Anolis sagrei: one gene and its partners. Each later gene encodes a partner of the first gene's protein in a complex. Links are inferred from orthologs where the notes say so. Each region holds a gene or a part of one and is shown on either strand. Other genes may lie near its edges. The genes, in order: TFDP1, MYBL2, LIN54 and MYBL1.

Region 1 (8,235 bases):
TCCTTCGATTGCGAAATAGAAGCATTTATTTCATTAATCCACTTTTGCTGAAGTAGATAGAGCTGTTGGCAGATTTTTAAAAAACGGATTTTGGTAGACAAAATGGCTCCAGACCTCACTTCAGAATAAATTTTAACTAAAAGGAAGATATTGCGAGCTGTGCCATTCTGCTGCTGCTTCATTTTAACCCAGTACAGCACGAATTGATGCTGTTATGTGAAATAATGCCACCACTGCCAAATAATGTCAATTAATACCACTACTAATACACAGCAATATATTCCCAGAGATGTTGCGCTAGTAGAGATTACAACCTGTTATACATGATATAATAAAGTAATTTTAGTCAAGGTAAGAGTAGTACTGCCATATGTTCTAGGAATCTCTTTGACACCTATGACTAGTTGTGTAGCACAGAACAGACCCGTATTATTAAACCCTGGAGATGTCACTGCAAGATTCAAGGCTACAACTACTTTATTGAATACTTACTGTTGATTCAATGCACATCTATAGGATCAAAGTGAATTCCTATTATTTGTTAGTCCTTGTGTTAACATGTGGGTTTGTAGGATCATTATAAACAGACATACTTACATCTTTTGCCATGTTATCAAGTCCAAGAAATCAATTCTTTACTTGCGTTGTTGCCACAGGATAAACAGAAGAAGCAGTTCTATATTCTGAAAGAAGAAAAGAAAAAAAATTAAGCTAGCATACTGAAAATCAATTTAGAGTTGAAATAATTAAAATTAGGTTTTTCTGCCAAAGAGTTCAAAGTGCAGGCTTAAAGTAAAAGCTTGAAACCTTCAGATTTTTGACAAGCTCTGTTTTTTTAAAAAAGAATATTGCATCTTTCTTTTGAGAACATAATACAACTCAAACTGACAGAAGAGGATTTCCTCCTTTTTGGGTGGTGAGGGAGATTAAACCTGTCCAGCTCTACATTATGGCTCACGCATGTCCCACGCTGAAGTGGGCAAGAGGAAGCTTAGTGCAGATGCAGCATAGGCCCCGTCTACACTAACCATTTAATGAAGTTCAAACTCACACAAAAGCATGCAAAAGCAAACCCTCAATGCATATCAGTGCTCTGTGGTTTGTGTCCTCACCATCCAGGCCTCAAGCTAGTTCCTGGATTTCTTCTGTAATCACTTTTTTCAACACCTATTTGAAATTGGATTAAATGTGCAGTGTAGATGGAGGCCTAAGTCATGTCCAGCTCTGCATTAGACCCCCTTGAGAAGCACAATTATACTTCATGCACAAACAGACCTGGCCTGCCCTGAAGTGGGCAAGGAGGGGAAGACTAAGCTATGTGCCTGACCATTCACAACCTAGTTGCTAGGCCTCAGGGGCCCAACTCCCTTTAGCAGCACTCTTTGCCAGCTCAAAACAAAACCCAACCTCCAACATGCAAGCAAGGCCCAGTCCAGTCCCTTCGATGATATGGCGTAAGGGAAAAGGGAGGGAAGCTAGTGCTCCCAGTTCCCTGTGCAAAAAGGCAGGCAGGCTGCAGCATCTGTGCTTCAGAGAACAAGCCCTGCCAGCCTCCCCCCGGGCCTCAGAAAGAGAGGGAGGGAGAGCCCTAGAAGTCTAGCCCAGCAGTACAACTGAAAGAGAGAGAGGGGCAGACAGGCAGGGAGAAGGAGGGCCACCCATGCACCAAGCTCACCCCCACTGAAGGGAAGGGGGAAGGGAAGGCAAGGCGGTGGGGGAAGAAGAAAGAGAGAAAAGGGGAAGGAGGAAGCTGTTTTCTTCCTGCCTCAAAGGCTTTCCCCCCACCTGGCTGCCCCCTTCTGCCTCTTTCCCAAAAGAGTACCTGAAGAACCAGAAGAGGAGAATCCGAGAGCAAACTCCATCCCCCAACGCAGGGGAAGAGAGAGAGAGAGAGCCAGAGATGCCAACTGCACATGTGCAATGCACGGCCCTCCTCAAAACCCCCTCGGGGGGCGGGCTGTGGGGAGGAAGATGATCAGGGAAGCAGCAGCAACACCACCATTTGCACACAAGACAAAGTGGCAAAGAGGGGGAGAAATTAGGAGGAAGAGGGAAGGAAGGAAGGAAGGAAGGAAGGAAGGAAGGAAGGAAGGAAGGAAGGAAGGAAGGAAGGCAGGCAGGCAGGCAGGCAGGCAGGCAGGCAGGCAAGGAGGGAGGCCTCTGCCACCGTAGCAATTGCACTGGCCCTGATAAGAAAAGGCGGGCCAACCATTAGGAGAAAAAATATATCTCAAAAACACAGAAAAAAGTAACCCTGATCTTTTGCGCCTGTTTTTTTCCCCAGAAGGAACTCCAAAAAGTGGTCAGGAAAGGAAAGCCAAGGAAGGGGTGCATTTAGGGGGAGGGTGAAAGTGTTGACTTGGATCAAAGTGTGGACTCCCTTGCATATGCCTCCTGCCACAGCTTGCAAGTCTTCATTCAGGGGGAGAGGATGGGGCTACAAGGGAATCAGTCCCTCCACTCAAAATTGGCAGGTCCTTCATGCTGTCCAGGTCTGCATTGGTTCCCTGAGATACAAGCACAGTGCTGGGTTGCTGTAGGTTTTCTGGGCTGTATGGCCATGTTCCAGAAGCATTCTCTCCTGACGTTTCGCCTGCATCTATAGATGCAGGCGAAACGTCAGGAGAGAATGCTTCTGGAACATGGCCATACAGCCCACAAAACTTACAGCAACCCAGTGATTCAAGCCATGATAATACAAAGCACAGTGCTGCCTCATAACAGTTCCTGAAGTTGGTGGGGAGGGGGGGGGGCAGAGAAGGGACCCCCACAAACACGCGAGGCAGGCCTCCCTCTTCCCACAAGCGCCATCATCCCCCGCCAAAGCCCAGCGCCTCCTCACCACCAGCACCACCTTGGCTCCTCTTCCTCCTCCTCCTTCTCTTCGCCCTGCCCCCTCCCTCCTCCCCCTCCCCCTGTTTTCACACCTGTTTCCCGCTCCCTCCTCCTCCTCCTCCATGAAGGGAGGGCTTCTGGGCAGCGCGCGCGCCCTCCCCTTTTCCTGCGCGCGACCCCGCTGCCGTTACTGCCTTTCCTTTTTTTTTTTTGGCAGTTGGCAGGAAGACGGGAGAAAGAGGGGGGGGGAGAATTGAAACTTACACTTTCGTGCGTCCCTCCGGCGTGACGCTGCGCGCTGACGTCACGGAGTGGAACGTGCCCCACATAGCCACACGCGGGGAGATTAAAGTTCCCTCCCTCTCTCCTTCTGCTTCCATCCCTTCAGCGCCATACGTTTAGGAGGGAGGGGAAGCGCATGCGCAAAGTTTTCGCGCCTTCGGGATTCCACCACGCCTCCCTTTCTCCCGGGGAAGTGCGCGCGCGGGAAGGCCAAGAAAGAGCGCGAGAGCCAGCTGGCTCTCGAGGGTGGCAGTGGGGCCTCGCGCCGCGCGCCGCCCTCGCGAGACTCAAGGCCTGTCATCCGGGGAGCTGGAGTTTTGGCGAGGCGCCGGCGCTCTTTGAACCAGGGAATCATAGAATACTGAAGTTGGAAGAGACCTCGTGGGGCATCCAGTCCAATCCCCTGCTAAGAAGCAGGAGAATCGCATTCAAAGCAGCCCCGACAGACGGCCATCCAGCCTCTGCTTAAAAGCCTCCAAAGAAGGAGCCTCCACACTCCGGGGCAGAGAGTTCCACTGATGAACAGCTCTCACAGTCAGGAAATTCTTCATGTCCAGATGGAATCTCCTTTCTTGTAGTTTGAAGCCATTGTTCCGCGTCCTAGTCTCCAGGGAAGCAGAAAACAAGCTTGCTCCCTCCTCCCTGTGGCTTCCTCTCACATATTTATACATGGCTATCATGTCTCCTCTCAGCCTTCTCTTCAGGCTAAACATGCCCAGCTCCTTAAGCCGCTCCTCATAGGGCTTGTTCTCCAGACCCTTGACCATTTTAGTCGCCCTCTGGACATATTTCTCCTCCCTATGACTTCCTCTCATATTCTCATGTCTCCTCAGCCTTCTCTGAAGCCAGAAGACCTTGTGAAACTACCGCTCCCATTGAAGGAGATGTAGTTTATAAGATTTTATAAACGCTATATAGGACTGTAAGTCGCAGAACATGCAAAGTGCATGCCCCATCACCATGTTTCCATGGCATTGGGGCATAGCAATTAAAAGTGGTGTCAAACCGCATTAATACTACAGTGTGTATGCACCCACGGTCTTCCCACGTGGCTGTATGGCCAGATGTCTTGCGAATGATGATCATAAACTCGAACTGGAGGACCTAGAACAGGCATGGCAAACTTCACCCCTCCAGGTGTTTTGGACTTCCAACTCCCACAATTCCTAATAGCCGGCACAATCAATCAGGGCCAGCTAACACCTGCCAACAAAGGATTCCCCCAGGCAGCAACCAGCCGGGCTTTGAAGCTGCAAGGACTTTCGGTGCTAATCAAAGTGGCCAATTGCAACATTCACACCTGCCTCAAGCAGACAAGAGTTTTTTCCCCACTCTAGACGTTCCACAGATATATAAACCTCACTTGCATAGTTCCCAACAGATCTCACAACCTCTGAGGATGCCTGCTATAGATGCAGCAGAGAATGCTTCTGGAACATGGCCATATACAGCCCAGAAAACTCATGGCAACCCAGCCGGTAGGCTGTTAGGAATTGTGGGAGTTGACGTCCAAAACACCTGGAGGGCCAAAGTTTGCCCATGCCTGACCTAGAAAATCCTAGCGAGGTTTAAATCAAATCTGCAAATAAAGTACCTGCAGATGTGGGGGCAGGGCTGTAATTTGAAAAAAAAAAAAGCATGCTATGCAGGAATCAATATTTAGTACATGGAAAAAAACAGGCACCTAGGGCCAGGCAACCTCAATAAAAATAATAAGTATTTAAGTCCTGCTTTTTTCCCTCCAAGGAAACTCAAAGCAGCAAACACTAAAAAAATAACAAACAAAATGCAGACTAATGCCAAAAGCACATAAACATTAAAATAAAGAACTATTAAAAAGCATATTTAAATCCAATAAAGCCATTAAAGAGGCTATTGCAAGCATAACTGGTAGGCTATGATGTCATGCAGGGGATCAATGCTTTTGGATTCCTTGGTACCTAAAATAACATTCTTACCCTTCTACTTGAATAACAAACCTCTACAGTTTGGTTGAATGTTGGAAAGGTTCACCTGCTTTAATTCTTAATCGGCTTAAATATATTGTTTTATTAATTCATTTGTTTAAGCAGGCATATAACTTTACTTACCGTATTAGAAGTTGAAAATAATGCAAACCCTTAAATCATTTCTTGTTAACTGCCATCAAGTCAAGTTTGAGTTATGGCAGCTTCATAAATGGGACACATCCACATCTCTGACCATCAAGGGCCCTACTCAAATCTTACATAAACATCTTCATTGAATCTGTCCACCTGTAACGCAGTCTTCCTTTTTTCCTGCTGCCTTTTACCTTACCAAGCATGATTATCTTTTCTACTGAGTCATGTCTTCTCATGTACCCAATGTATGAATCCCAACATGGTCACCTTGGCTTATCGCTTCTGGTGTGAGAGAATTGGCCGTCTGCAAGGACGTTGCCCAGGGGACGCCCGGATGATTTGATGTTTTATCATCCTTGTGGGAGGCTTCCCTCATGTCCCCGCATGAGGAGCTGGAGCTGATAGAGGGAGCTCATCCGCCTCTCCCCGGATTCAAACCTGCTATCTTCAGTTCTGCCGGCACAGGGGTTTAACCCACTGTGCCACCGGGGGCTCACACCAGAAGCCACTTGCGAACACTACTTTACCCATAATGTCTGGGAATCGCCAGAAGGCTAAACGGAGGGCTGCACAAACACAACAAGGACCAAGTACCAAAAGCACAATAATCCCAATTAAACAGCTCAAGGGAAGATCTCAGGGGCTCACATGTCTTTACACTAATGCACAGAGCATGGGAAATAAACAAGACAAACTCCAACGTTTAGCACAACACCACAAATATGATATCATAGGGATCACTGAAACCTGGTGGGATGACTCCTATAGCTGGAATGTAGATATCGAGGGGTTTAACCTCTTTCACAGAAACCGAATGAAGGGGAGAGGAGGCGGAGTAGCCTTATATGTCAAAAACTCTTATGCTGCAGAAGATTCAAGACAGCAATCTGGGAAACCAGCTTGAAATCATCTGGATAAGAATCAAGGGAACTGGGACTCAAAAAGATGTCGTTGTAGGCGTCTACTACAGACCCCCAAGCCAGGAGGAAGAACTTGATGAAGTCTTCTGCCAACAGTTGACCAAACAGGCACAGAGAAGAGATGTAGTAGCCATGGGCGATTTCAACTATCCCGATATTTGCTGGAAAACAAACTCAGCCAAGAGTACAAGGTCCAACAAATTCCTCGCTTGCCTTGCAGACAATTTCATGGTCCAGAAGGTAGAAGAGGCAACAAGGGGATTGGCTACTCTTGATCTCATCCTAACAAATGCGGAGGACCTGATCGATGCGGTCGAAGTGGTAGGATCCTTAGGGGCAAGTGACCATGTGCTCCTGCAATTTGAGGTACAAAGGAAGGCCGAAACTAAGACAAGTCAAACCCGCATTTTGGACTTTAGGAGAGCTGATTTCCAAAAAATGAAGGAAACGCTGAGCAGCATTCCGTGGACACAGATACTAAAAGACAAGGGAGTTACGGATGGATGGGAATTTCTCAAGAGTGAAATACTCAAGGCGCAATTGCAAACCGTGCCAACAAAGAGAAAAAATAGGACAAGTGCAAAGAAGCCAGAATAGATGTCCAAAGAACTTCTAACTGTGCTAAGACACAAAAGAGACATGCACAAGAAGTGGAAAAAGGGAGAAATCACCAAAGAAGAATTCAAACAAATAGCCAACACCTGTAGGGAAAAGGTCCGCAAGGCTAAAGCAAAAAACGAGCTCAGACTTGCCAGGGACATTAAAAACAATAAAAAGGAAAAACAAGGAGGTGATAGGACCTCTTCGAGGAGAAGATGGGGCAATGCTGACAGGGGATAGGGAAAAGGCAGAACTATTTAATACCTTCTTTGCCGCGGTCTTCTCACAAAAAGAGAGTCTTCAACCTCAGCAAGATGGAGTGGATGAGGGATTGGAGGACATCCAACCCCAAATTGGGAAAGAAGTCGTCCAGAAATACCTGGCCACTCTTAATGAGTTCAAGTCCCCAGGGCCAGATCAACTACACCCCAGAGTATTGAAGGAACTAGCAGAAGTCATTTCGGAACCATTGACAACCATCTTTGAGAGTTCTTGGAGAATGGGAGAAGTTCCAGCAGATTGGTGGAGGGCCAATGTGGTCCCAATCTTCAAGAAGGGAAAAAAGGATGACCCAAACAACTACCGTCCGGTCAGCCTCACGTCGATACCGGGCAAGATTCTGGAAAAGATTGTTAAGGAAGCGGTCTGCAAACACTTAGAAACAAATGCAGTCATCGCTAATAGTCAACATGGATTTATCAAAAACAAGTCATGCCAGACTAATCTGATCTCTTTCTTCGATAGAGTTACAAGCTGGGTAGATGCGGGGAATGCCGTGGATGTAGCGTACCTGGATTTCAGTAAGGCCTTCGACAAGGTCCCCCATGACCTTCTGGCAAGGAAACTAGTCCAATGTGGGCTAGGCAAAACTACGGTGAGGTGGATCTGTAATTGGTTAAGTGGACGAACGCAGAGTGCTCACTAATGCTTCCTCTTCATCTTGGAAAGAAGTGATGAGCGGAGTGCCCCAGGGTTCCGTCCTGGGCCCGGTCCTGTTCAACATCTTTATTAATGACTTAGATGAAGGGTTAGAAGGCAGGATCATCAAGTTTGCAGACGACACCAAATTGGGAGGGATGGCCAATAGTCCAGAGGACAGGAGCAGGATTCAAAACGATCTTGACAGATTAGAGAGATGGGCCAAAACTAAAAAAATGAAGTTCAACAGTGACAAATGCAAGATACTCCACTTTGGCAGAAAAAATGAAATGCAAAGATACAGAATGGGTGACGCCTGGCTCGAGAGCAGTACGTGTGAAAAAGATCTTGGAGTCTTCATGGACAACAAGTTAAACATGAGCCAACAATGTGATGTGGCGGCAAAAAAAGCCAATGGGATTTTGGCCTGCACCAATAGGAGGATAGTATCTAGATCTAAGGAAGTAATGCTACTCCTCTATTCTGCTTTGGTTAGACCACATCTGGAATATTGTGTCCAATTCTGGGCACCACAATTCAAGAGAGATATTGACAAGCTGGAATGTGTCCAGAGGAGG
Region 2 (8,379 bases), on another chromosome or scaffold:
AAATACCTGGGGACCCACAGGCTGAGAACCACTGTTCTAGACCAATACGGCAGCATCTTTGAATAGCTGGACAAGGGAGATATCCATAGGATTCCTATTTTATTTATTGAAATTTGACAGTGCCCTTCCTGCCAGAAGTAAAATACTGGCTGCAATTGCTAAGCCCCCTTCAGGCATGTAGCCAGGGGGGGGGGGCTCGGGGGGCTTCAGCCCCCCCCCCCCCCCCGAAATTTTCATGGTGGTTCGCGAAAAAGCCTTAATGGTGCATTATTTAAACTGTTATGTTTATTCATATCATGATCTGATCACCATACTCAATATATCCCATATGCATGGGGGTATTGGGGTAACGATACAAAAGGTTTGCTAGGCTAGCCCCTCTTTCACTCAGACTCAGCCCCCCCCGAAACTCAGCCTCCCCCCGAAACCCCCCCTGAAAAAAAATTCAGCCCCCCCCGAAACGAAATCCTGGCTACGGGCCTGGCCCCCTTCTACAATGTTATATATCCCAGGATCTGATCCTGGGATATAGGAGCAGTGTGGAAGGGGCCCAAGGCAGATGAGACTTCTGAAGGACCATAAATGCCCCAGCTTTTCAAGTCAGGACTTCTCATAATAGCTCTTGATGAATGTCGCCAGAGTGTTTCCCATCCCACTCCATACCTTAACCCCCAAAATCCCCACAGGACAATACCTCTTCGCGTGACCATTTGACTTTGCACCTGTTGTCCCGCCGTTCCTGAGCATCTGAGTCTTGACTGTGCAATTCATCTTGCTCTTCACTAGTTTTAAAAGAAAGGAAGAGACACTTTGTTAACACAATATTGAATTACCTTGTTCATCAGTTGAGAATTTAAGCTTTTCTCATTCAGCAAAAGGTTTAGTTGACCTCCAGCTAGAGTGCTCAAGAGCCTGGACATTCCAATTGCCTAGCTTCCAACAGACCTCATGACCTCTGAGGATGCCTGCCATGGATGTGGGTGAAACATCAGAAGAGAATGCTTCTTGAACATGGCCATACAGCCCGGAAAACTCACAGCAACCCACCTATTAAAATATTGCTAGTTGCATCCATCCATGCAAACAGCAGTGATTTTGTTGAAAAGTGTGCTTCCTAATGTTACTCTCAACCACAGTAGACATAATGAATTAGAAGGATTTGCAGAAGGATTGGCTTACAGATCATCCAGTTGACTATGTGGGTCTGTTAATTGGATTTAGGCCCATATAGATAAATCAAATTAACAGACCCACTGAATCAACTGGATGATCCGCAAGCCAACCCTTCTGTGACCAGCAGTGCTGTGGAATTCGAAGAGGCACAAATGGAGGGCAAAAGGGAGAAACGTGCTAAGAAACGTCCTTCCACCTGGAAACCAATGTCCTCACTGGGAGAGAACATGCAGAACAGCCACCTACGAACCCACCAGACTTGGAGGACCATCATCCTTGGCCCCCGAGAGATTGCCTAAGTAAAGAAGGAATGTCCAGGGAGGAAGAAAGAACTCTTGTCTGTTGGAGGCAAGTGTGAATGTTGAAATTGGCCACCTTGATTAGCATTTAAATGACTTTGCAGCTTCAAAGCCTGGGCGATTGCTGCCTGGGGGAATCCTTTGTTGGGAGGTGTTATCTAGTCATGATTGTTTCATGACAGGAATTCTCCTGTTTCTTGCAATCCTCTTTATTTACTGACCTGATTTTAGAGTTTTTGAAAGAATGGTAGCCATATTTTGTTCATTTTCATAGTTTCCTCCTTCCCGTTGCAATTGTCCACATGCTCGTGGATTCTTTTAATTGCTTTCTTTCAATAACTTTCTCATGACCTCCAAGGAATCTGAAGTTTGTATTTGTTACAAGACACGGGGTGCATTTATACTAAATTTGATGCAGTCTGATACTGCTTTAACTGCCATGGTTCAATGCTATGAAACCATGTGAGTTGTAGTTTTACCAGGTTTTTAGCCTTCTCTGACAAAGAGAGCTGGTGCTCCAGCAAACTACAAATTCTGTGGTTCTACAGCATGGCAACTAAGAGTTAAAGTACATTAATTTTACAATGTAAATGCATACTTCCTTTTCAGTGATTGGAAATGCATTGCCATTTCCTCCATTCAGGTGTGCTGGGGGAAGGGAAGAGAAAGAGCCCTTCCATATAGCCATATAGCCCAGAATATCAAGGCAAAAAATATCCCACAGTATCTGCTTTAAACTGGGTTATCTGAGTCCACACTGCCATATATTCCAGTTTAAAGCAGAAAATGTGGGATTTTATTCAGCTGTGTGGAAGGGGCCTAAATCCCAGAATATCAAGGCAGAAAATCCCACATTATCTGAGTGTGGACACAGATAACCCAGTTCAAAGCAGGTATTGTGGGATTTTCTGCCTTGATATTCTGGGATATAGGGCTGTATGGAAGGGGCTTAAGTAATCTAAAGATTTCACACTGAAATAATAGTTACCAAATCGATCTAGATAAAAACCCAAGCCCTTTAAAATAAATCGATCAGGGAGGACCTTCCTTTCCCCTTCCTTTTTTGGCGCAAAGAGAATTGAGTTCCTCTCCCGCCTTGGAAATTCACGCGGGCCATCTGGAGCACCCCTTAAAATATTGCACCCAAATTAAAATAAAATAGAGCAACCTCGCTTTCAAATTAAGTCATCCATGGAAACCATAGGATCACTTCCACTATTGTGGGGGATACATCTCTCTTTGCTATGAGAGAAATTACCTTTTGGGGAAATGGCCAGGAAATACCCCCCCCCCCCACACACACACACACACTTATTTCCCTCTTAATCAAATTTATAGTATTTAAGGCAATATCATTTTAACCCCAATGCAAAACTCACCAGCCAACCTTGCGGGACATCCTGTTCTGTTCTAGATTTAAAAAAAAACAATTAGGCAAGAATATAAATTAAAATAACGATCCCAAAGAAGAAGAAGAGGTGGATGAGGTTATAGCAGCAGCAGCAGCAAGAGCAACAGTGCTGGCCACCATTGCAAGGAAGGAAAGGGGAGCCCAGGATTAGCGCGCGCGGATGGCTCGCGCCCGCCCGGGTCTCCAGAGCAGCAATTTTTTCCTATCTCGCGCCAACCCCGCCCCCGGCTGCCAGCCAGCCAACCACTTTCTTCCGGCGTGGTGACGTCCCGTGCGCGCGGCGGACGAGAAACGAAAATCTATTGGACCTGGGGTGGAAAGAAGCGGGGCCAAAGTGGCGCGCGCGGGCAAAGTTGGGAAGCTTCTGGTTTAAGAGGCTCAAGTCAGCAGATCCTTCCAGCTGTGCATCATCCCAAGCTAGTAGCGATCAATATAATCAGATGAGCACTGTGGGTTCCTCTTTTGTAAATTTTTAATTAACTAACTTCTTTCATTCCTTCTTTTTTTAAAAAAACTCCCACATAGAGTTCATCTACACTGTAGAATTGATGCAGTTTGATACCTCTTTAACGACCTTGGCTCAATGCTGTGGAATCCTGGGATTTGTAGCTTGGTGTGGCACCAGCAACTGGCAGACCTTGTAAAACTGCATCTTTCAGAATGTCATGGAATTGAGCTATGGCAGTTAAAGTGGTAAGAGATAAAGGAAAAGGTTTCCCCCTGACATTTAGGCCAGTCGTGTCTGACTCTGGGGTTTGGTGCTCATCTCCATTTCTAAGCTGAAGAGCCGGCATTGACCGTAGACACCTCTAAGGTCATGTGGCCGGCATGACTGCATAGAGCGCTGTTAACCTTCCCACCAAATCATCATCATCATCACTTTATTTCTTAATTAGTCGCTTTCCACCAAAATGCTCCAAGTGACTTATAATTTAAAATAGCTTATTTGTTGTTCATTCGTTCAGTCGCCTCCGACTCTTCGTGACCTCATGGCCCAGCCCACGCCAGAGCTCCCTGTCGGCCGTCACCACCCCCAGGTCCTTCAAGGTCAGTCCAGTCACTTCAAGGATGCTGTCCATCCATCTTGCCCTTGGTCGGCAAGGGCAAAATAGGGCAAAATAGCTTATATACAATATAAAAACATTCAACATAAAAACATTCAATATAAGAACATTCAACATAAAAACATCCAAAGGGGTACCTATTGATCTAATAACATTTGCATGTTTTTGAACTGCTAGGTTGGCAGAAGCTGGGCCTAACAGCAGGAGCGCACCCCGCTCCTAGGATTCAATCCGCCAACCTTTCAGTCAGCAAGTTGAGCAGCTCAGCAGTTTAACCTGCTGTACCACAAAATACAACAATAAAGTCTGAAATGACTTGCTCACAACAACAATCCTCATTAACGTGAGTCTCATCAGCCAAAGGCAGGCCTACACTTCCCATTGAAATACTGGCAAGTTTATGTTGGTTAAAATTATTCATTATTTTAAATAGTGTATTGTTCTTTCGAGGGGCCGTAATGGTGCAGTGGGTTAAACCACTAAGCTGCAGAAATTGCTGATTGGAAGGCGGTGGTTCAAATCCAGAGATGGGTGAGCTCCCGCTGTTAGCCCCAGCTTCTGTCAACCTAGTAAAAAGGTAAAGGTTTCTCCTCATATTAAGTCCAGTCGTGTCCGGCTCTGGGGGTTGGTGCTTTTTCTAAGCCAAAGAGCCGGCATTGTCTGTAGACACCTCCAAGGTCATGGCCAGCATGATTGCATGGAGCGCTGTTACCTTCCCACTGGATCGGTTCCTATTGATCTACTCACATTTGGATGTTTTCAAATTGCTAGGTTGGCAGAAGCTGGGGCTGACAGTGGGAGCTCACCCCACTCCCCAGATTCAAACCTGCGACCTTTCGGTCAACAAGTTTAGCAGCTCAGTGGTTTAACGCACTGTGCTACCGGGGGCTCCAGTTAAAGTGATACCAAACTGCATTAATTCTACCGTGCAGATGCCCCCAAGGAAACAATACAAAAAGCAGATCTTCGTTGGTAGAGTCCACTTTAGCCACCATGACTCTACTATGTCCAGTATCTCCCGGAACCAACACTATTGCTGGACTTAATATCATCCACAATATGATGATTCTTTTATACAACAATGCATCTTCTGCATAGGATGTACCTTCATTTCCTGGCAATGCCCTCTTGTATTGTTACACCGGGTTTACAAACCCATCTTGGGAAGGGGGGGGGGGGGGAGAGAAGAAATAGCCAAATATCTGACATCTGAAATAGTAATATTAAGTTTTCCATTGATACATCCATTCAATTAACAAACTTTTGCCACACAAGTCTTATCTTAATATACATTATTCAAAAGTCACTTTACCTTAAATGACGCTGTGTGTATTAATAACGTGCATTGTTTAAGGACCCAACTATCTGATGAAGACTCCTGTGAGTCAAAACCGGTTGAATGTTATGTAATAAAGAAAATAGGACATTTGGGTTGTTGTAAGTTTTTTGGGCTGTATGGCCATGTTCTAGAAGCATTCTCTCCTGACATTTCACCTGCATCTGTGGCAAGCATCTTTACTGTGCAAGGATTTGGAGTTTACTCGTCTGTAGTAAAGAGTCAAGTACTATTTCCACACATGAAGAAGAATTTTTTAATTTTTCGAGAAAAGAACAAATTATTTATTGTTAAATGTGAATGCAACAATCCTATGTTTTACTGACATTTGTATTTGCATGTATACATTGAGCTTCTGTGTGTTTAGATACATTTGCATCACTGCAATTAGTGGATACTGACCTTTTTAATTCCAAGGGAACCCATTTTTCTTTGCTTTTCAACACTGTATGGAACCTAGAGAGAATTCTTTGTCAGAGAATTTTTGGGCCTCACTAATTACAAAATGCAAACAATGTTGCTATGGCATTTACAGTGGTGTAATAATAATAATTGCATACTGCAAGTTGCTTCTGGCGTGAGAGAATTGACCATCTACCAAGATATTGCTCAGGGGATGCTCAAATGTGTCTTCTGTTCGGATATCAACCAGCAAGCCAATGCCCTAAATCAAGAAATAGCCTCCTAAGATCTACAGAGATATTTGCAGGAACACCTCAGCAAGCAAGAGTCCAAAAGTGGCAAGTTAAAACCTGGACCCTCAATCTGAACAGACTGCGCTCTGGCACCACAAGACGCAGAGCCAATCTTAAGAAATGGGGCTTCAAAGTGGAATCCATGAAATGCAAGGGTGGAAAACAGCCCTACACAATGGACGACCCTCTTACAGTGACACTAGAGGCACTGCAAGTGGCCAGCTTCTGTTCAAAAGAAATTTAGTATAATGCCAAGTTTTTAACTTTGTGGTTTTTTGTGAATTATAACTGTATTCTCAATTTGCTTTTGACATTACACATACACACACAATTATTCCACCATTAATCCCATGACATTATCACAGTGTAGTGATAAGAATCTCAATTTGCTGTATGAACATGTATTAATCCCAGCAAACCATCATTACATCAAACACATGGTGATCATTCTTGAATACGACGAACAGAGGAAAATTGACACAGCTGAATAAGAATTCATCAGGAAGTTCTCCTGTGACTCAAACTGTAACAAAGGGCTTATTGCTGTATGTGTTAATCAACCTCCTGTCAATCAACAATACTACTGTTAAGATGACATCAACATGCCTTTTGCATTTGAATTTCCTTTGGCCACGGTGGCAACTCTTCCCCACCCATTCTCCTGCATAACAGTCTGCCAATTTAAAACGTCACCTTCTCTAGCTCAAAGGGAAAGAGAGAATAAATTTGTTCCCAGTGCCACATGTGATTTAATTGTAATTCTTTACTTCAATATTCTATATGGCCATTCCACACAGCCATATAGCCCAGAATATCAAGGCAGAAAATCCCACAATATCTGCTTTGAACGGGGTTATCTGAGTCCAAACTGCCATATATTCCAGTTCAAAGCAGAAAATGTGGGGTTTGGAAGGGGCCAACAAGGAATCTTGTAACACTTGGGAGAATAACACATTTTATTTATCATAAGTTTCTGGCAGGTTTAATAGATACAACCAGATGGGTTGAGGAGTCTGTAAAATATTATGTTGAATAAGACATTCCAGTCCTCTCTAAAGTGCAACAGGACTGTTGAAATATTGCAGTTAATCCCATCAAAGCCATGCATTCCTGTAGAAGATAACTTGTTAGGTGACTTCCTGACATCCAAAGAAAAGTTTACACCTCCAGGTAAAGTAGATATTCTTCCTCAAATGGTAATCAACTTAACTTTACATACATAAAGGGAATATTTATCTATAAGCAAGAAACCACACATATCATGAACAGTATTTTGCTTCGGGGGGGGGGGGGGACGGGGACAACATCACAGTATTCCAATACAGACAATAAGGGCTTGGGAAAGCTACTTTTTTGTATTGCAGCTCAGTTGTACTCTAAAAAGTAACCTTTCAAAGCCCTGCATAGAAGCATATTCAGGAACTCGCCAATGAAGAACCCACTTTGCTCCATTACAGAAATGTTTTGCGATTTAAATGAACTCATTTGTTCATTCCAAATAAATATGCCTTTCCCAGTCTCTGATATAAACATAAAGTAGTAATGCTGTAATTTCTAGAAGTTTAAAACAGAATAGGAGAGTTTAAAAATTGCATTAATATGTTTTGGTACCGAGTACAGAATTGGTACATTCCAGCAGCCAATGTGCCATTCATCCAATATTCTGTACAAGAAGACAGGTGTCATAGGAAGACAAGTCAGAACAATGCCATAGTTTGTCAGAATTTGGTATTCATAGCCTGTGCCTTTAGATGGCACTGTTGTGCTTCATAAACTAAGAAATATTTCTGTATTTCTTCCTTCTAAGGCTACTTCCACACAGCTGAATAAAGTCCCACATTTTCTGCTTTGAACTGGAATTTATGGCAGTGTGGACTCAGATAAACCAGTTCAAATCAGATATTGTGGGATTTTCTAACTTGATAGTCTGAGATATAGGGCTGTGTGGAAGGGCCCCCAGACATATTTCTTTTCCTATATTGTAAAGGTAAAGGCCTCCCCTTGACATTAAGTCTAGTGGTGTCCAACTCAGAGTGATGGTGCTCATCTCCATTTCTGAGCTGAAGAGCCAGTGTTGTCTGTAGATGCCTCCAAGGTCATGTGGCTGGCATGACTGCATGGAGCACTGTTACCTTCCCGCCAAAGCGGTACCTATTGATCTACTCATATTTGCAAATTTCTAGGTTACCAGACGCTGGGGCTTTTCCTATATAAACACCTCTAAAATGGAATGAGTCTTAGGGCCCTTCCACACAGCCATATAACCTAGAATCAACCACAATATCTGCTTTGCACTGGGGGCTCTTCCACACAGTCCTATATCCCAGAATATCAAGGAAGAACACCCCACAATATCTGCTTTGAATTGGAATATAAGGCAGTGTGGACTCAATTAATCTAG
Region 3 (7,276 bases), on another chromosome or scaffold:
ACATGGCCATATAGCCCGAAAAAAACTACAAGAACCCAGTAATTCCGGCCATGAAAGCCTTCGACAATACAAGGAAATGTTTCTGTTGGCATATTCTGGGACTGTATTCTTGAACAGTCATCTCATTCCGGGGAGGGCGCAGATGAGCTCCCTCTGTCAGCTCCAGCTCCCCATGTGGGGACATGAGAGAAGCCTCCCACAAGGATGGCAAAACATCAAAAACACCTGGGCATCCCCCTGGGAAACGTCCTTGCAGACGGCCAACTCTCTCACACCAGAAGTAACTTGCAGTTTCTCAAATTGCTCCTGATACAAAAAAATACACATCTGATTCTTGCCAAATACTTGGGGGGGGGGGCTTCTTATATTATTTCTAATGGTAACCTTTAGTGCTGATTTGTAAAACTTCCCTTTATAGCAGAGCCTTTGTTTTGGTTTCACCAGTTGCTTAATGCTATTTCTGGCTCTGTCAAAACACACAACACCCATGATCAACAATCAAGGAGCAAATATGCTAACATCCAGTTCACTATGGAAAAAGGAAGGAAGACTGCCTTTTCTAGATGTCCTAGTCATCCGTAAACCAGATCAACAATTGGATCACACAGTTTACAGAAAACCCACACACAGAGATAGATATCTACATAAAAACTCCAACCATCACCCAAGTCAAAAAAGAAGCACCATTAAAGCCTTGACAGACAGTGCAAAAAGAATCTGTGAACCCCACCTCCTCCAAGATGAACTGAACCACCTCAACTGGGCTCTCCAGGCCAATGGATACTCCACCTCAGACATCAGGAGAGCTTCAAGACCAAGAACAAGCCACGAGAGTACGGTAAAGATGAAGATCCACCCAGAGGAAAAGTGTTCCTGCCATACATCAAGGGAACCACTGACCGCATAGGGAAGCTGATGAGAAAACACAACATACAAACTATCTACAAACCCACCAAGAAAATCAAACAAATGCTACGTTCAGCAAAGGACAAGAGGGATCCTCTCACCTCTGCAGGAGTCTACCATATACCATGCAGCTGTGGACAAGTCTACATAGGGACCACCAAACGCAGCGCCCAAACACGAATCAAGGAACACGAAAGGCACTGCAGACTACTCCAACCAGAGAAGTCAGCCATAGCAGAGCACCTGATGAACCAACCTGGATACAGCATATTATTTGAGAACACAAAAATGCTCGACCACTCTCACAACCACCATGTCAGACTACACAGAGAAGCCATTGAAATCCACAAACATGTGGACAATTTCAACAGAAAGGAAGAAACCATGAAAATGAACAAAATCTGGCTACCAGTATTAAAAAATTCTAAAATTGCAACAGCAAAACAGCAGGGAGAAAAACAGGCAGGGACATCTAATCACCTTTCAAGAAGAGTTTGCTCCAGGCACTGTCAGCCCATTGTATGCTAATCAAGGTGGTCAGTGGAAAGATTCACACCCAGCCCAACTTACAAAAGCCCCTTTGTCTCACCCTGGCCATTCCACAGATATATAAACCCCTTTTTTCCCATTTCCAGTAGACCTCACCTCTGAGGATGCTTGCCATAGATGCAGGCGAAACATCAGGAGAAATGCCTCTAGAACATGGCCATATAGCCCGAAAAAACCCACAAGAACTGAGTGATTCCAGCCATGAAAGCCTTCGACAATACATTAAATATGCTATTTGTTTGTATTGGCATCGTATCGGTGCCCAATGTAAGGCATTGAATTTTGCCATTATTTATGTGTAAACTGCTTCGAGTCCCCCCAAGGGTGAGAAAGGCGGTACATAAATACTGGAAATAAATAAATAATTAATAAATAATAAATTTCTGTCCCTGGGTTTTTTTTTGGTTGTTGTTGTGTCAGGAGCGACTTCAGAGACTGCAAGTTGCTTCTGGTGTGAGAGAATTGGCCGTCTGCAAGGACGTTGCCCAGGGGATGCCCAGATGATTTGATGTTTTTATCATCCTTGTGGGAGGCTTCTCTCATGTCCCTGCATAGGGAGCTGGAGCTGACAGAGGGAGCTCACCCTCATTTTCCCCGATTTGAACCTCTGACCTGTTGGTCTTCAGTCCTGCTGGCACAAGGGTTTAACCCACTGTGCCACGGGGGGGGGGGGGGGGTTAAAATCCTCAATTCACGTTTATGTGGCACCAATGCTATGGGAAGTGGAAGTAGCACGGAGAAATCAATAGAATGAGTACAGATAAAGAGGTTATCTCATATTACACTAGGTAACAAAATTTGGAAAAAAAAATCTGTCGGTCTTCAGTCCTGCCGGCACAGGGGTTTAACAGGGCTCTGTCCCGGTCAAAACTCATAACACCCACAATCAACAATCAAGGAGTGATTAACAAGTTTTGGAGCTATCAACAAGCATGTGTCCTATTTAAATGCCAAAATGAATGTATGGTTTCAGTTGATGTGTCAGATATGCTCCTGCAAAAACAACAGATTGTCCACAGGGAAAAATTACACGGTGTGCAGTATGGATTAGGCCTGGGCCAACTTGGGCCCTTCCTCCTTCCAGGTGTTTTGGACTCCAACTCCCACAATTCCTAACAGCCGGCAGTGTAAATACACAAGGCCTGGGCCAACTTGGGCCCTCCCTCCAGGTGTTTTGGACTCCAACTCCCACAATTCCTAACAGCCTACCGGCTGTTAGGAATTGTGGGAGTTGAAACACCTGGAGGGAGGGCCCAAGTTGGCCCAGGCCTTGTGTATTTCCCTACTGTTAGGAATTGTGGGAGTTGGAGTCCAAAACACCTGGAGGGAGGGAGGGCCCAAGTTGGCCCAGGCCTGGTGTATTTACCCTGTCCCGTAATGCAGTTGATATGAGGCACCTGTCACTCCAGGGCGCGTTTCCCGTCAGGCTTCTCCTCCGAGCACCAGGCCTTCCTTCGCCCTCAGGCTGCCGTTAAACCCTCGCGGCCAGAAGCGCAGCCCTCTCTCCCCCGCCTCCGCTCTCTCCTCCTCCTCCTCCTCTCCCTTCTCTCCTTCTCCCGGTTCCGTGTTTGTTCAAAATCACGCGCCCAGCGCCATTCCGCCGCATCCCATAATAGCTCGGCAGCGCCGCCGTCTTGGCAACGGCTTCGGCGTCATCACTCTTCTCCCGCCTTCTCCAAAAACACAGCCACTTCCGGGTTGAAAGCGTCACTGTGCGTGCGTGCGTGTACGCGCGCGCGCTCGAGAATGACGCAGAGTCCGCCCTCATTGGTTTCTGAGGCGACGGAGGGGGCGTGGTTATTTTTCCCTCACCGGAAGTGTAGAAAAGAAAAATGGCGGCGGCGGTGAGGCAGGAGTTGACGCAGCTCATGAGCTCCAGCGGCTCCCACAAGGATTTAGCCGGGAAGTAAGCGACGGCTTCTTGGTTTTCGATGAGGGAAGGCGGAGCGGGGCAGGAGAAGCTCGCAAAAAGGGAAGGGAAGGCATTGTATTGTCGAAGGCTTTCATGGCCGGAATCACTGGGTTGTTGTAGGTTTTTTCGGGCTATATGGCCATGGTCTAGAGGCATTCTCTCCTGATGTTTCGCCTGCATCTATGGCAAGCATCCTCAGAGGTAGTGAGGTCTGTTGGAACTAGGAAAAAGGGGTTTATATATCTGTGGAATGACCAGGGTGGGACAAAGGACTCTTGTCTGTTGCAGCTAGGTGTGAATGTTTCAGCTGACTACCTTGATTGGCATTTGATGGCCTGGAAGTGCCTGGAGCAATCTTTTGTTGAGAGGTGATTAGATGTCCCTGATTGTTTTCCTTCTGCTGTTTTGCTGTTTTAATTTTAGAGTTTTTAATTTGCTTGCCACAGATGCAGGCAAAACGTCAGGAAATAATGCCTCTAGAACATGGCCATATAGCCCCCAAAAAAACCTACAACAACTGAGTGATTCCAGCCATCCTCAGAGGTAGTGAGGTCAGACTACACAGAGAAGCCACTGAAATCCACAAGCATGTGGACAATTTCAACAAAAAGGAGGAAACCATGAAAATGAACAAAATCTGGCTCCCGGTACTAAAAAAAAACTCTAAAATTACAACGGCTAAACAACAGAGAGGAAACAAACAAGGACATCTAATCACCTCTCAACAAAAGATTGTCCCAGGCACTGTCAGGCCATGAAATGCTAATCAAGGTAGTCAGTTGAAACATTCACATTTAGCTCCCGCAGACAAGAGTTCTTTGTCCCACCCTGGTCATTCCACAGATATATAAACCCTTTTTCCTTGTTCCAACAGACCTCACTATCTCTGAGGATGCTTGCCATAGATGCAGGCGAAACGTCAGGAGAGAATGCCTCTAGACCATCGCCATATAGCCCGAAAAACCTACAACAACCCAGGGAAGGCATTGATTCAGTGGTTTAAACACGGCCTGGCCCGTCCCTTGCCCATCTTCACTGTAGAATGAATAATAATAATCTATATAAATAAAAATGTAATGTTCGTTTGTGCTATCCATAGAACTCACAAACCACTGGGGCAACTGGCACCAAATTTGGACACGATACACCTAACAACCCAATTTATGTCCTTCATTCAAAAAATTGATTTTGTCATTTGGGAGTTGTAGTTGCTGGGACTTGTAGTTCACCTACAATCAAAGTACATTCCGAACCCCGTCAACGATGGAATTGAACCAAACTTGGCACGCAGTTCTCCCATGACCAACAGAAAATACTGGAAGGGTTTGGTGGGCAGTGTCCTTTGGTTTTGGAGTTGTAGTTCACCTACATCCAAAGATCACTGTGGACTCAAACAATGATGGATCTGGACCAAACTCTACAAGAATACTCAATATGCCGAAATGTGAACACTGGTGGAGTTTGGGGGAAATAGAATCTTGACACTTGGGAGTTGTAGTTGCTGGGATTTATAGTTCACCTACAATCAAGGAGCGTTCTGAACCCCACCAATGATAGAATTGGGCCAAAGTTCCCACACAGAACCTCCATGATCACAGAAATTACTGTGTTTTCTGATAGTCTTTGGCAACCCCTCTGACACAGCTTCGCAACCCCCCCAGGGGTCCTGACCCCCAGGTTGAGAAACACTGCTCTAGAACATGGCCATATAGCCCGAAAAAACCCAAACCCTGTAAAAGTTAGACAGTCATACACACATCTCAACATGTGTGTGTGCAATCTCACTGAGACCCCCTCCAAAAAAAATACTGCTTTATTGGGTCCCTTTTCATCTTCCAGGTTCTCTAATTCACTATGGATTCATCACATTTTGTCAACATCCTACCTCCACTTAGCCAAGCAAACATTTTCCTTCTCTTCTATTAATTATTTTTACATCCCCAGCTGTTAATGCCCTTTGCATGTGGTGTTATCGTTTCCCCTTCTCCTTGCTCTTGAACCTATTATCCTTGAGAGTTTTATGTACAGCAAACCATCTTTCAAAACAATTTCTCCCACTGCAACCAAAAGGCTTTCTCTAAGACAATTACTAAGTTGAACGTGTTTATAAATTGAGCAAAATCTTGCTTTTCAGTGTCCTTCAATTATTCCAATTATTCTTCAATTATTATTAAAATCCCAGCTACATTCCCTACCCTGAAGGAGGTTGCATCTCTACTCATCAGGATCAGTATGTGTCACCTTCTCAAATGCCACCGCTTGCCCTTTATTAAACCTATGGTACTAAACATAGTATTCCCAACATAGTATTCCCATGAGGCATCACCATCTGATCTGTGGAGACTTTCTAGGAAATAAACAGGTGCAGTCAGTGGACACAAATATGGTGTCACCTATAGCACTTTGCTGTTGTTCCTCCGCATCAGATCCTACTTACTTACTTAGGTTATCCCTCATTGTCCGAGTATTTTGGCCTTTCAATTGTAGTGTCTTGGTGGTGGATACATATAATAATAATAATAATAATAATAATAATAATAAACTTTATTTCTACCCCGCTACCATCTCCCCGATGGGGACTCGGAGCGGCTTACATGGGGGCAAGCCTGGACAACATAATACAGCAATAAAATCAAAACATATACAATGGACAGCAACAACATTATCAAAATGATATTAAAATAATAATGTTAACCCCTCAGCTGAACAGTTGTTAGGATGTAATCTCCATCTCAGATGGAATTTACTGGTTGATTTACCCTGTTTAATGATTAAATTATTGATACATTTGTACTCCTGCCTTGTCTATACAGTGAGCAGTAGGAAATAGGAGTAAGATACTGGTTTTCAAAGTGTTAAAAATAACTATTTTCTTTCCAGCAAGTCATGTTTTTAACACTCCTGAAAATCAACAATCAAGATATTCAAATAGCACAGTGAGAAATAAGGTGACAGTTTTGTGGTTATGGCCTTTGCGTTTTGAATGTGACAGGAAGTATGTGTGACATCCAAAATATAGACATGGTGGCCACAGCACTGTCACTTTCTTTTCCTCATAAACAGTTTCACCATTTTTGCTTGATAAAGAGTTCTGTCAAGCTTTGAAAGCAAGTGGAATGTACTTTGTGCCTTTCCGTTGGCCTAGTAAAGGTATCAGCACAGAAGAGAGTTTTGTGCTTTGTTGTGTTTTTTTTTAAGGACAAATTCCTTAAACCTAAGTTATGTTTTGACTGTTTACATTGACTACTACTCTCATTCCACCCAAATGTAAAACTCATTCTGAAAATAAGCCAGTATTGTTAATTGTGACTGATTTATTTTTGACATTTTCTGGCAGATATCGGCAGATATTGGAAAAAGCAATTCAGCTCTCTGGAGTCGAACAGTTAGAGGCATTAAAAGCCTTCGTAGAAGCAAGTGAGTTTCAACATTGTTTTTCAGATGTTGTTAAATGCCAGAGTTATAAATGCCGAACTGCAGGACTTGCATTTGTGTTTGTGTGTAGGTAAACAGTTTTTCATTTGCCTGTTTTTGTGTCATGGAATTGCTAATGATGCTTACTCTTGTTAATCCAGGAGTACTTGGACCACATGAGACAAATGAGTTGAAAATTTGACAATGTACCACTGTTGGTGTAATATACAAAAGCTCATTTCATTTAGTTTGGCTGTCTGAAAATTAAGTTTGCAATCAACAAAATATAATTTAGTCTTGATAACAGCATGATTATGGTCCAAATGACAAGCCTGATTTAAAGGTATGTTTTTTTAAAAATTTCTCATTGTGTCCCTTATTTAGTGGTGAATGAAAATGTCAGTTTAGTGATTTCGCGCCAGTTGCTGACAGACTTTTGTACCCATCTCCCGAGCCTTCCTGACGGCACAGCTAAAGAAATCTACCACTTCACGT
Region 4 (7,531 bases), on another chromosome or scaffold:
TGTTGCTGTTTTTAACTGATGTATTTGGGCTCGGCCTCTTGTAAGCCGCACTGAGTCCTTCAGGGTATAAATAAAGGTTTATTATTATTATTATTATTATTATTATTATTATTATTACATTTTTATTTATATAAGATAGATAGATAGATAGATAGATAGATAGATGACATATAGATTTACGACATAGAAATGTCGTAAATAAATATACACACACACACATACATTTGAAGGGAGTCACACTTTAAAATGTACCTGTTCCGACTTACATACTAATTCACCTTAAGAACAACCCTGTAGAACAGCATTTCTCAACCTTGGGATCGGGACCCCTGGAGGGGTCGCGAGGGGGTGTCAGAGGGGTCGTCAAGGACTATCAGAAAGCACAATATTTTCTGTTGGTCATGGAGGTTCTGTGTGGGAAGTTTGGCCCAATTCTATTGTTGGTGGAGTTCAGAATGCTCTTTGATTATAGGTGAACTATAAATCCCAACAACTACAACTCCCAAATGTTATAGTCTATTTTCCCCAAACTCCACCAGTGTTCACATTTTGGGCATATTGAGTATTTCTGCCAAGTTTGGTCCAGATCCATCACTGTTTGGGTCCACAGTGCTCTCCTGATGTACGTGAACTACAACTCTCAATGCCCACCAAACCCTTCCAGTATTTTCTGTTGGTCATGAGAGTTCTGTGAGCCAAATCTGGTTCAGTTTCATTGTTGGTGGAGTCCAGAATGCTCTTTGATTGTAGGTGAACTATAAATCCCAGCAACTACAATTCGCAAATGTCAAGGTCTATTTTCTCCCAAATTCACCAGTGTTCACATTTGAGCATATTGAGTATTCATTCCAAGTTTGGTCCAGATCCATCATTGTTTAAGTCCACAGTGCTCTCTGGATATAGGTGAACTACAACTCCCAAACTCAAGGTCAATACCCACCAAACCCTTCCAGTATTTTCTGTTGGTCATGGGAGTTCTATGAGCCAAGTTTGGTTCAGTTCCATTATTGATAGAGTCCAGAATGCTCTTTGATTGTAGGTGGACTATAAATCCCAGCAACTACAACTCCCAAATGACAAAATCATAATTTCTTGAGTGATGGTCATTCCTTGTGCTGTGAGACTTTTTGTTGCGAAATTTGGCGTGATTTTGTTCATTGGTTCTTTTGTTTTTAAGGTACTCATTATGCACAGAGCATTTTTATATATATAGATTACATTATAATATTATAAATAGTATATGCATATACAATATATTATATTATATTATTAGGATAGCACAGGAAACAAGGTGGAACTTGTCTTTTAAGTTTATATTTGTTAAAATTGTTCATCATTTTAATTATTGCATTGTTTTAAAGTGTTTTTTTGTACTACAAATAAGATGTGTGAGGTGTTTATAGGAATTCATTCATTTTTTTCAAATTATAATCCGGCCCTCCAACAGTTTGAGGGACTATGACCTGGCCCTCTGTTTAAAAAGTTTGAGGACCCCTGCTTTAAAATGTACCTGTTCCGACTTACATACTAATTCACCTTAAGAACAACCCTGTATAACAGTGTTTCTCAACCTGGGGGTCGGGACCCCTGGGGGGGTCACAAAGGGGTGTCAGAGGTGTCCCCAAAGACCATCAAAAACCACAGTACTTTCTGTTGTTCATGGGGGTTCTGCGTGGGAAGTTTGGCCCAATTCTATCATTGGTGGAGTTCAGAATGCTCTTTGATTGTAGGTGAACTATAAATCCCAGCAACTACAACTCCCAAATGTCAAGGCCTATTTTCCCCAAACTCCACTAGTGTTCACATTTGGGCATATTGAGTATTCATGCCAAGTTTGGCCCAGATCTATCATTGTTTGAGTCCACAGTGCTCTCTTGATGTACGTGAACAACAACTCCCAAACTCAAGGTTTCTTCCAATATATTTCTGTTGGTCATTGGAGGGCTGTGTGCCAAAATTGGTTCAATTCAATTGTTGATGGAGTCCAGAATGCTCTTTGATTGTAAGTGGACTATAAATCCCAACAACTACAACTCCCAAATGACAAAATCAATCCCCCTTCCCAACCCCACCAGTATTCAAATTTAGGCATATTGAGTATTTGTGCCAAATTTGGTCCAGTGAATGAGAATACATCCTGCATATTTATTTATTTATTTACTTACTTACTTTGCTTGTATACCGCAGTTTCTCAGCCCGTAGGCGACTCAACGCGGTTCACAACAAGAGCAAAAAAGTCAATCGTACAACATACAATATTTAAAAACCATTAACAGCCTAGTATACAAATAATGACACATCAATAACAACACATTAGCATCTCGTAACTAAAATCGTGATCCAATTCGTCATAAATCCGTTCCTATATTCATCGTTCAATTGCACTATTTATCTGAACGCCTGTTCAAACAGCCAGGTTTTTAGTTTTCTTCGAAACACGATTAACGAAGGGGCTGATCTAATGTCCATGGGAAGGGCGTTCCACAGCCGAGGGGCCACCACAGAGAAGGCCCTGTCCCTCGTCCCCCGCCAGCCGTGCTTGCGATGCAGGCGGGATCGAGAGCAGGGCCTCCCCAGAAGATCTTAGAGTCCTGGTGGGTTCATAGGCAGATATTCCCATTACAATTCATAATAGTAGTTCTGAAGTAGCGACAACAATATTTTTTTTATAATGGGGGGGGGGGGTCACCACAACATGAGGAACTGTATTAAGGGGTCGCGGCCTTAGGAAGGTTGAGAACCACTGCTGTAGAACCCCATCTTGTTCGCAACTCGGGGACTGCCTGCCCTCTGAAAGCTTTCTCTGCCAAAGAGCGCTGAGGTCCCGCCTAACGACCACTCCCTCGAGCCAAGGCATTCAAAGCGTGTGGATGGAGGGATGGAAGGAAGGATGGAGAAAGAATCCCTCCTGAGGGGGAGAGGAGTAGTTGTGGCTCACCTTCGCGGCCTCTTCGCCATCCTTTGAGGGCACCATAAGGCGGAAAGAGGAGGGAAGCGGGGCTGTCACCGCCGGCCGAACTGAAGGAATGGCAGAGGGAGGAGGAGAGCGGGAGAAAGGCAGCTTTTAGCCCCGGCCTCGCCTGGGGGACATGGTCCTCCTCCTCCGGCCTCTTCTCCTTTGCTGCTGCTGCTGCTGCTGCCTCTCTTTTTCGTCCCTGCCGCCGAATCTCGCGCCCAGCCTCTTTCCAGAGCCACCGTTTGAATCTGCGCACGCGGACTGCCTCCCCATTGGCTGCCTCCGAGAGCACGCGACCCAGCCGAGGGGGCGGGGCTAGGGGAGGGAGGAGGAGGAGGAGGGGAGGGTGCGCGATATTGGAGAAGGGGAGAAAGTGGCGGCGGGCTCGGGACAGAGAAAAGGGCGCAAAGCCTGCTGGGAAATGTAGTCTTTTTTTGTTTTCTCCCTTCACTCTTGGGAAATGAGACAAAACCCAATAGGAAAAATAACATAATTGCACCTAAGGATAAAATGAAATAATTGCCATATTTGACGGGGGATGAACAACCAAAAAAAAAATTCAAATCTCCTTCGAGCCGGAATCGAACCAGCGACCTAAGGATTCCCGCAAGCAGCCAATGCCTCTACAGTCCTCCGCTCTACCAGCTGAGCTATCGAAGGGACGCTGTGTGCGAGCTCGTGTTTTTGCCCTATACTTTCGCTGCCCTGTGAATTGTTCTAAAGCTGGCATAGGTAAACCTGGGCCTTGCAGGTGTTTTGGACTCCAACTCCCACCATTCCTCACAGCCTCAGGCCCCTTCCTCAAGGGGGGGCCTGAGGCTGTGAGGAATGGTGGGAGTTGAAGTCCAAAACTCCTACAAATCCAAAGTTTGTCATCCCTGGGCTAAATCAATGGAACCAATTACCTTAAGAGAGGCCCAAATCATTCTGGGTAGGAAATTCTAGTAGTACAGACACACTCTTCTTCAATGTGTACATTAATAGTGTGAACACACGTTTATTAAATATTTAAATGCAGTTTAATATTCTCAAAACAGCATTTGGGGCATAGTTTTTAAACTTACTTTACTTAAGCGATCCCTTGTCTTCGACCTCTATTCGTGCCTCTTCAAATTCTACAGCACTGCTGGTCACAGCTGACCTCCAGCTGGAGCGCTCACAGGTTTCCCAGTTCTCAGTGTCTATGCCAAAGTTTTTAAGGTTCACAATGAGCCCATCTTTCAATCAACATTCCGTTTTCCGCTCTTGAGTTTGGAGTAGAGCAACTGCTTTGGGAGACGGTGGTTGGGCATCCGGAAAACGTGACCGGACCATCGCTTCAGTGCTGGTGGTCTTTGCTTCTTCCAGCACGCTGACATTTGTCCGCTTGTCTACCCAAGAGATTTGCCAGATTTTCCGGAGGCAACTCTGATGGAATCGTTCCAGGAGTTGCATGTGACGTCTGTAGACAGTCCATGTCTCGCAGGCGTATAGCAGGATTAGGAGGAAAATAGCTTTATAAACAAGCACCTTGGTCTCCCTATGGATGTCCCGGTCCTCAAACACTCTCTGCTTCATTCAGAAAAATGCTGCACTCGCAGAGCTCAGGCGGTGCTGTATTTCAGTGTCAATGTTGACTTTTGTGGAGAGGTGGCTGCCAAGGTAGCAGAAATAGTCAACATCTTCTAATGTTACACCATTAAGCTGTATTTCTGGCATTGGGGAGGGTGAGTTTTCCGGGCAGTGTGGCCATATTCCAGAAGCATTCTCTCCTGACGTTTCACCCACATCTATGGCAGGCACCCTCAGAAGTTGTGAGGTCTGTTGGAAACTAGGCAAGTGAGGTTGCAGCTTCAAAGCCTGGCTGGTTGCTGCCTGAGGGGGATCCTTTGTTGGGAGGTGTTAGCTGGCCCTGATTGATTCTTGTCTGGAAATCCCCTGGTTTTTTTTTAGTGTTGCTCTTTATTTACTGTCCTGATTTTAGAGTTTTTAAATACTGTTAGCCAGATTTTGTTCATTTTCATATTTTCCTCCTTTCTGTTGCTATTCTCCAAATGCTTGTGGATTTCAATGGATTCTCTGTGTAGTCTGATATGGTGGTTGTTAGAGTGTTCCAGCATTTCTGTATTATTTTTTTTATTTAAAACATTTAAATTCCGCCTTCTCACCCCAAAGGGGACTCAGGGCGGAGCACAGCATACACACGGCAAACATTCAGTGCCGGGACACAAATTCACATGCAATACATAAACATTAAAAACATCAAAATATTAAAATACACCATTTAAAATTGTCCTAGTCCATATGTATTCTTACATATGCTGTGTCCAGGTTGGTTCACCGAGTGCTCTGCTATGGCTGACTTCTCTGGTTGAATTAGTCTGCAGTGCCTTTCATGTTCCTTGATTTGTGTTTGGTCAATGCTGCGTTTGTCTCAATACTGAACCATTCAAGTTGGTTTTCAGCACAAAACAGAGTGTTAATAAGATAATGCCATGACTGAGCTATTAACATTTCATTTCCACAGCTCCAACAACCAAGCTACCGACACATCTGGAGATTGTATTTATTTATTTATTCTGTATCAAAAGCATTGCATAAATGAGCCCCCGGTGGCGCAGTGGGTTAAACCCCTGTGCCGGCCGGACTGAAGACCGACAGGTTGCAGGTTCGAATTCGGGGAGAGGCAGATGAGCTCCCTCTATCAGCTCCAGCTCCTCATACGGGGACATGACAGAAGCCTCCCACAAGGATGATAAAAACATCACATCATCCAGGCATCCCCTGGGCAACGTCTCTCACACCAGAAGTGACTTGCAGTTTCTCAAATCGCTCCTGACATGACAAAAAAAATTGCATAAATTAGTTTAAAACTTCTAAAAATAGAGGGAGCACAAGTGGCTAAATATGAACTAGATTCTATGGCAATATGGACTCAGATAATCCATATTGTGGATTATTTGCCTTGATATTGTGGGTTATTTATTGATTTATTTTGTATCAAAAGCATTGCATAAATTAGTATAAAACTGATAAAAACAGAAGGAGCACAAGCAGCTAAATATCTTTTCACCAAAAACAGGCAACAACGACCATATTGTCTATAGCCTCAAACAATTCTTCCTCTGTGCATGAAGCAGGACACTGCGGACAGGCATGCAGATGCAGTGTTGCTTGTTCTGCTCCACAATAACACAAGGTGGAGGATTCTTTTAGGTAGTGCCATTTTGCCAGGTTGTCTTTTGATCTGCCCATTTTACTTTGGAGTCTGTTCAGGGACTTCAAAGTTGCCCATTCTTGGTTTAGCTTCCAGAGGGATACTCTTGTTGTTGCTGCGGGAAGATTAAGAGGAGTGGTGGTTCTCATGAAGCTTTTCCTTGATTTAAGTCTACTGGGAGGAGGCTGATAGCCATGCAGTGGATGGCTTTCGCAGTGTTCAATCTAGGGAATGGCAGCGAGACACATTGCAGTCTGTTCATAACAGATAAGAAAATATTATGTACTTTGTAACACAGCACGCATTGGGGTTATTGGATAGCTCTTTACTTAATTCTGTTATGTTGTAAGTTCAACATTGAAAACTGAAAATTTTAGGGCCCAAAATATTTTGAATGTACGTAGAAGAGGAAGCGTTCTGTAGAGTCCCTGCTCTTCTGTTGCTTTTACACAAAGAATAATGCGTCATAAATTTAAAATGGAAGCCTTCAAAGGAAGAGTTATACAGTCCCTAATGGATCTTATAACAGATGAATTATGATCATTTCTATTTTGAACATTTAACGCAGACTCATGAGTTACCAGTTCCAGAAATAGCATGAAGGAGTTTCCAGTATGGTCAGCTGAAAGGAGCGTGCAGATAGAAAGGGGAAAAATTGTTAACCTATGCAAATCCTAATCAAATGTGTAGTGAGGAAATAACAAAACTCCAAAGCTGATTTGAATTTGTAGCCAGTTTTTGTGTCTACCTAGGAATTCATTTCTATTTGATCTGGAATCGATAGTTAAATCAAGCAGGATATCATTCTGTTTACAGCTTTCAGGGAAGATGTTTGGTTCAGTTGATCTCTTGTGGCATAGACTTATGATCCACAGCAAAACAGATTGCTTATATGTGATGCATCAAATAAATCAGCCAGAATGTTGCTTACAACGAGAGTGCAAATTTGTATAGGTCACTTTCTCCTCTCACACATTTTGAATGACAAAGGTCATAACTCCCTTTTTAAGGGGACTGTTCCACAGTCAGTGTGGAGCTGCACCTATTACCCAACCCACCTGAGCAGCTGGACATAAACCAGACTTAAAACAGAAAACAAGACTACTCCCATAATTAAGCAGTGAGGAAGCTGTCTTATGCAGGTCCGGAGTGCCATGAAAAAGTAGAAAATTATTTTTTAAATTGTTGTATTTTTAGAACTGAAGGTGAAGAGATGCACTGGAAGAGTATTTTGCTTTATGCCAAAATTATTAGGCCAGCGTTAAGTACTTTTTATCTTGACTTGGTTGAGTGGCTGTTTTGCCTCAGGCAGCAAAATGTCTTGTATCAGCCTTGGTAACTAAACTGTTTACATTCCTCCCCAGGCAGGATGCAGCCAA

The links.
Region 2: TFDP1 (region 1) and MYBL2 share a complex: the UniProt entries of both Homo sapiens proteins name them as parts of the DREAM complex. The link is inferred for Anolis sagrei from reciprocal best matches to the Homo sapiens genes TFDP1 and MYBL2.
Region 3: TFDP1 (region 1) and LIN54 share a complex: the UniProt entries of both Homo sapiens proteins name them as parts of the DREAM complex. The link is inferred for Anolis sagrei from reciprocal best matches to the Homo sapiens genes TFDP1 and LIN54.
Region 4: TFDP1 (region 1) and MYBL1 share a complex: the UniProt entries of both Homo sapiens proteins name them as parts of the DREAM complex. The link is inferred for Anolis sagrei from reciprocal best matches to the Homo sapiens genes TFDP1 and MYBL1.

What each region holds. Positions count from the first base shown.
Region 1 is NC_090023.1:108,401,103-108,409,337, forward strand, and holds the start of TFDP1 (transcription factor Dp-1), read right to left. Parts: upstream 3,246-8,235; 5' UTR 3,100-3,245; intron 3,071-3,099; exon of another isoform or gene 2,928-3,070; intron 2,897-2,927; exon of another isoform or gene 2,843-2,896; intron 1,919-2,842; exon of another isoform or gene 1,823-1,918; intron 684-1,822; 5' UTR 610-683; coding exon 598-609; intron 1-597. UniProt on the Homo sapiens protein: Can stimulate E2F-dependent transcription.
Region 2 is NC_090024.1:212,223,319-212,231,697, reverse strand, and holds the start of MYBL2 (myb-related protein B), read right to left. Parts: upstream 3,097-8,379; 5' UTR 2,872-3,096; coding exon 2,852-2,871; intron 783-2,851; coding exon 695-782; intron 1-694. UniProt on the Homo sapiens protein: Transcription factor involved in the regulation of cell survival, proliferation, and differentiation. Transactivates the expression of the CLU gene.
Region 3 is NC_090025.1:17,418,967-17,426,242, forward strand, and holds the start of LIN54 (protein lin-54 homolog), read right to left. Parts: upstream 3,155-7,276; 5' UTR 2,822-3,154; intron 1-2,821. Other genes in the region: COPS4 (COP9 signalosome complex subunit 4), read left to right, coding at 3,288-3,361, 6,705-6,784, 7,166-7,276. UniProt on the Homo sapiens protein: Component of the DREAM complex, a multiprotein complex that can both act as a transcription activator or repressor depending on the context. In G0 phase, the complex binds to more than 800 promoters and is required for repression of E2F target genes.
Region 4 is NC_090024.1:45,428,334-45,435,864, reverse strand, and holds the start of MYBL1 (myb-related protein A), read right to left. Parts: upstream 3,195-7,531; 5' UTR 2,975-3,194; coding exon 2,939-2,974; intron 1-2,938. UniProt on the Homo sapiens protein: Transcription factor that specifically recognizes the sequence 5'-YAAC[GT]G-3'.